2 linked regions of the Oryctolagus cuniculus genome follow. The protein of the gene in region 1 interacts with the protein of each later gene in a pairwise test. Links are inferred from orthologs where the notes say so. Each region holds a gene or a part of one and is shown on either strand. Other genes may lie near its edges.

Evidence for each region.
Region 2: the proteins of MED4 (region 1) and TNFAIP8 interact in binary tests that used the Homo sapiens proteins (3 or more experiments, as listed by UniProt). The two-hybrid records come from large-scale screens. The link is inferred for Oryctolagus cuniculus from reciprocal best matches to the Homo sapiens genes MED4 and TNFAIP8.

What each region holds. Positions count from the first base shown.
Region 1 is NC_091440.1:67,114,821-67,118,470, reverse strand, and holds part of MED4 (mediator of RNA polymerase II transcription subunit 4), read left to right. Parts: intron 1-1,634; coding exon 1,635-1,692; intron 1,693-3,325; coding exon 3,326-3,412; intron 3,413-3,650. UniProt on the Homo sapiens protein: Component of the Mediator complex, a coactivator involved in the regulated transcription of nearly all RNA polymerase II-dependent genes.
Region 2 is NC_091437.1:9,305,872-9,308,559, forward strand, and holds the end of TNFAIP8 (tumor necrosis factor alpha-induced protein 8), read left to right. Parts: intron 1-567; coding exon 568-1,133; 3' UTR 1,134-2,127; downstream 2,128-2,688. UniProt on the Homo sapiens protein: Acts as a negative mediator of apoptosis and may play a role in tumor progression.

The DNA of each region.
Region 1 (3,650 bases):
GTATTTTGAAGAGTAGAAAAACCTTCCAAGATGAAAAATAATATTCTGTCAGTAAGGTATAGGCCCTTGTCACCTTCCTTCCCCCACTTTTCTGGCATATTTTTAGATAGTCTTCATTATTTTTGAACCTCACTAATGTTTTAAGCAATAATGTAAAACCTTGGCTTTTAAACTTTTGAAATCAGTAAAAATAATAATGATTTTATAAATTGATTAAAGTAGAGTATATTTAGCCTTCCATCCTAATCTGTGTGGGGTTTAGGTCTATGCTGAGAACTCTGGTTTTGCCTTTGTTGTGGGCTGCTGTTTTCGCTGTACTGACGAGTGTGATTATCGTGCGGTGGTACTGCAGCAGTGGCTGAGCTCGATTCCTGTATAGACCGGATGCTGCTAGTCCACTCCTTGTCCCTGATGGACAGGTCCTTGACCCTGATGGACCTCTGGAAAATGTGTGAGTGGCTTCTAGTAATCAGAAGCCTGAGCCGCTCAGGGGAAATGAACCACCCTCCTGAAGAAACAACCCCAAGTAAATGCTTCTGAAAAAAGATATTTTTATTAAGATATGTTTTTCCTTTTGAAAGTAGTATTTACTTATCAAAATCAATTTGGAAAAAATTGCCTCTAGTCCCACTGCCCCAAGCATGCTAGTCTTCACAGTTTGGTTTATTTCCTTTGAATCTCAGTGTACTCATTTTGTACCTTATTGTTATTATAGTACTACTCTTTATTAAAACATGAGCATTTTCTGTGTAGCTTTATCTTGTTTGTTTGATTTTTCAAGTGTTACAAATAATGGGTTACTGAACGTCCTTGAGGAACCATTTTTTCTTCTTCTGCATTTTGGGTTATATTCTTAAGATTTCCAGAATTATTGAATTAAAGACTGAACATGAGAATCCTGAGAGTGAATTTTATGGTTTGGACAGCGGCAACTGGTGCTGATTAAGCATTTGGGCCCTAGACCCTGATCTTTGCACTTGTTTTTTATATGCATTATTTCTGTCTTCAGACAGTTTATAAAGTGCCATTATTCAGGTGAAGAAATCAGTGCTTTAAATAACTAACTCCCAAGGAGGCTAAAAACAGAGAGATGGCTCTCAAACCTAGATCTTCTGTTGCCATACTTTTAACCACCTTGCTGTAGTTGAGGATACACCTCTACAAGGTCACTTTATTTTACCCTTTAGTGTGCTGTGGCAGGTCAGAGGAATGTTTTCATGGTAACAGTCATTAAGTACTGAGGTGATATATAAGTGAATTTCAATCCAGGAATGTATCTTACTCCTTTTTTCTAACAGGGAGCTTTAAGGTATTTTATTCTTGAGCTAGATGCAAGAATAGGATGTTTTGGGGGTGGTAAGTAGTCTGGATCTAAAGTAAAGGATCCAGTTAAAACTGTGTTTCTAACAATTGTGGGTGAATGACAGACTAGTTGGTGAGTCTGTTTCTTTCATGAAATACATCGAGTGTTTCAGAACACTGTAACAATAGTTTGTAACTTTGCAGATAAATTATGGGGGTTCTGAGCTTGCACATTATTCCTTTGAGATAAGTCATGCTGTGAATTATGCCAAAAATTGCTTGATAAAGTTGAAAATAAACTGTATTTCTTTGTTTAATGTTGTTTTAATTAGGCAACAGCTGTTTACCAAGCAAAAGAAAAACTCAAGTCAATAGAAAAAGCAAGAAAAGGTTAGTACTGTGGGAAGACTGGATGACCTGAAAAACCCAAGTTCTGGTCTGAAGCATCTGAAAAGAATGTTCCTGGTAATCATTTGCTGCTGTTGAAAGATCCTAATAAATTTTCATTGTAAAGAGTATTATGTTCTAGCCTCGTGATGGGCATTGTTAGGGAGGCGGAAGTGTTACATGCTTTTTCCAGATTATCAGAAGCAGTAACAGAGGGCAACTTCAGCTCTCTACTTGAGTGTGCAGTAAAGACAGTGGGTTTGTAAAGCTGTTCAGAGAAGGGAGAAGTGTGAGCTGGAAGCAAGTGGGATTTCAACTGGATCTTGAAGTCTAGGACAGAATGAAAGAGAATGTCCTTTGGACAGCTACACTTGTTCTACACTTGGTTGAGCATGATGGAATCAAAGCTGGATGGAGCTTCTGGGTGCAGGCACCTTTAGCAGGCAGAACCCCAGCCTGCCTTCCTGCACAGCTCTCCCCCTTTAAAGGGCTTCAATTATGGATCTTGCTGCTTCATTTAGTTTGCATACTGGAAATAGGAATTGTAATTAACTGGTTACTTGTCTCTAGTAATTTGTAGATATGATTTACATTTAGTCATTTTGGATTTGTCTAACTTTTCTTTTCCTGTTCCTTTGGGAACCTGTGTTTACATGATTACATATGAAGAGCAGTGAATATCTTCTCAGAGATGGGCTAGGCTTCTGTAGCAGGAAACAGATCTCTATGAAATGTGATGGTATGGCCATCTGAAATCTGGACCATGTTTTTGTTGAGTCTTCAAAAGTTCTACATACAGAAACATGTTACCTTGTTACATTAAAGCAGTGTCTAAAGTTTATAGTGAGCCTCATTTCTCAGAGATAACTATTCTTAGTGTTTGGTTAGTGTGTCCTAGGTTTTTTTTCTAGATCTGTGAGTATGTATATAATAAAAATATGAATACACATGTGCCTATATTTTCCAAAAAAAACCATGCTGTTTAGCAGCTTATTCTGCCTCCCCCTAAGGAACACATTGTAGATGTCTTTCTGTTTGGATCTGTTTGGAGTGGGATACATTCAGCAGGAAATGATTTGTTCTGGCCCTAACAAGACAGCTGCAGATGGGACTCAAATTCAATATATCTATGGCAGGCTAATTTTTAAGTAGATAATTTTGTGTAAATATCCAAAAGGCCCTTGGCAGAAAAAAAGTTCCCCACCCCAATAGAACCTTAGGTCAAGTTAATTAGGCAGAGTGGTGTGAACCTTCTGCTCCAATTTCATAGCTTGGATATTGTTGCAAGATAAAGTACTGTTTCACTATTTTATTTGCATTCACTGTTGATTTTAGAAGAGTAGTATCTGGTGGTAGTTAATCATGGACTATTGAGTATTAACATGCTGTTCTCTCAAATTTGTTTCTTTATGCCAGATGATTTTTTGGAACAAGCATCTTCTATAGTTTGGAAATAAAAAATTTAGCTTTATATATGCGAAATATATATGTGTTGTTATGGAAGGTGGATAACTGGGATTATTTTCAAATAACTTTCTGATACTTCCAGATAATTTAAAATCAAGTGTGATGTGTAACCGTGTTTATGCAGTTCCAAACTTACTATAATGTTACCCTGTCCCCTGAACTCTCTCAGGTGCTATTTCCTCTGAAGAAATAATCAAGTATGCACATAGGATTAGTGCAAGTAATGCTGTGTGTGCCCCACTGACTTGGGTTCCAGGTAAAAATACTTTTTTGTACTATTTCTATGTGATTTCAAACATCATTAGCTGACTATATAAAAAGAATACATTTAGGTATAGAACACGCTTATTCTGAGAAACGTCTGTTACATGTTTTCACATCAACAGTGGATAACATATCAGACAGGAGACCTAAAGTATAGCAGCAGCCTTTTTGGAGGAATGGAAGATAATTACCTCAACCAGAGTAACTCCTGAAGGTGGTATTTTACCATG
Region 2 (2,688 bases), on another chromosome or scaffold:
CTGGAGTGTGCTGGCCAGCGTCTTGGGAAATCTGCCTTTTTATAACTGGGTTGTGAAACAGGGCTCCCCTTTGATTTGCTTCCATGAATTTGCCATTTTTACTCATTGCCATTGCTTTGCCACTTCTCCTTCTTGATTTAGGTGGGGTTCTTTCTGTTGCTTCCCTTGCTGTTCATTGCCCAGTGGACCAGTATAGACTTGATCTTCTCAATGCATTTTTTTTTTTTAATAAAGTTGACTAGGGAAAATGGCGTAAAATCTTAGTGTCTGATGAGACATACTGTTTTATAAAGGTGAAAATTGTTTTTTAAAGACATTATAACCTTGAACTTCTAAAGAAGGTATTAACTGTATAACAGAAGGTAATTGAATTGCCAAAGACCTTAAAGATCGTTCACCTGAACGATTCCACAGTGCCTGGAAATGTGGAAAGTAGTGGGAGACAAGCCACAAATAATGGGGAAATGAGAGGGGAAAAGTACTCCCTGATAATAACTGTTTTAAAATTTGCTTCTCTTGCGATATGTAATGGTCTCCCCCCCCACTCCTTTTTTTTCTCTTTTGCAGTGGCCACAGATGTCTTCAACTCCAAAAACCTGGCCGTTCAGGCGCAAAAGAAGATCTTGGGGAAGATGGTGTCCAAGTCCATCGCCACCACCTTGATAGATGACACAAGCAGCGAGGTGCTGGACGAGCTGTACAGGGTGACCCGGGAGTACACCCAGAGCAAGAAGGAGGCCGAGAAGATCATCAAGGACCTCATCAAGACTGTCATCAAGCTGGCCATTCTCTACAGGAACAACCAGTTTAACCAGGACGAGCTGGCCCTCATGGAGAAGTTCAAGAAGAAGGTCCACCAGCTGGCCATGACGGTGGTCAGCTTCCACCAGGTGGACTACACCTTCGACCGGAACGTGCTGTCCAGGCTGCTGAACGAGTGCAGAGAGCTGCTGCACCAGATCATTCAGCGTCACCTCACCGCCAAGTCGCACGGACGCGTTAATAATGTCTTTGACCATTTCTCAGATTGTGATTTCTTGGCTGCCTTGTATAATCCTTTCGGAAATTTCAAACCCCACTTACAGAAACTTTGTGATGGCATCAACAAGATGTTGGACGAAGAGAACATTTGAACGTGTGAGTGAAGATTGTACCGGGTCGTGATTTGTTTAAAGATGGAGCACTGCTGATTTATGAAGGAAAAGGCAATTCTTTGAAGATGACACATATTTCAGAAAGACTCCCAATTCAGTTTTCCGACGTCAATGATAATGCTTTTATGAGGCTTGTTTTATTTAATAAGAAGCTTATTGCCAAAAATTCTGGTTAAAAGTTTCGTAATGAATAGCAGATATGGGAAAGATGTGTGGTTAGTAGCAAAGGTAGCTACACAGACAGGGGAGACTGTGTACATGGATCCAAACCTTCAGACATTTTTTTGAAAATTGTGTTGGTGGCACATTGGCTATTTCCAGCATGTACAAAGTTACGTGATTTGATTCGTTTTTATTCCTTACAACGTTTTCCTTTTTAGAAGCCAAGAATTTTCTCTTGCTGGCATTGCTCCACTTTCTAGTCTACCCTGGCTCTTTGATTAAAGATGGTGTCATTGACTTTCAGGAATTAAGGCTGAGGCAGTCCAAGTGAACCTTCAGAAGAACAGAACACTGCTTGTGTGAAGTCATTACTGTGGAAATGAACTATGTTAGACTTCATGATAAAGCCCAGGATAAGAATTTGCTTCTGGAACTGAATCCTGCTTTTTTGGTGCAACACGGTGATTCTTAAATTCCCAGAAATACAATGGCACGTCTCGGCCTTGAAACGCTTACTTAGGGCTTAACTTTCGATTTGTTTTGAAAATGTGCTGATGAAATCTCCACATGGGACATCTAAGTTTAATATGTAAGAGACAAAGAAAAAAATCTGGATTGGTCAATTTAAAAAATGGCATTAAGGAAGATTTTTTTAAATCTTCATTTTGGAGATGAGCCCATCAACGTAATTGAGGGGGTGGGAGGGCAGAAGGGAACAAAGGATCTTCCTGAAGAACATGACCATGCAGACGAATGCAATGTAATGTCTAAGGAGGTCTGATAAAATAAAGAATGTCACTTTTTTATTTAACTGATGAGGGTTTTTGTTACTTGCTGTTTTTGATGAGTAAACCGAAAGTTTATTTTCCTTCCAAGAAGTCTGGGTGCTGTGTGTGTGCACTTCTGCATGTGTGAACGATAAAGTAGGCATTCGCTTGTTTTGTGAAAGATGAATGGGAACCTCCTGGGAAGTGACAGATCCAGTCACCAGCAGGGAGTCTTTGATGGTCACTGCCTCCGTGACTTAGTGTGCTCTCCTAGAATCTGACGTTCAAGTAACAGTTCACCTGGAAAGGTCTTGCGATGAGAACTCTGCAGGTGGAGGTCTGCCTCAACCCCACGGTGGCCTGGAAGAAGCCCTCTGTTTCCCTGAGACCCTCGCTTGCTTTGGCAAAAACTAGCTGCACAGGCAAAGGTTGTCTCCCTGGTTGATACCAAATCCTGCCACTAGAGGCACCATTCTCATTTCCCAGATCCTGTAGGTGGTCACTAGATATTTAACGATAGCACAGTGACCACAGAAATGACCGCTGTTGCATCATAACCAAGTATAACCAAGTGGCTTATTAATGCAGCTCAGCCTGGTGTGGCA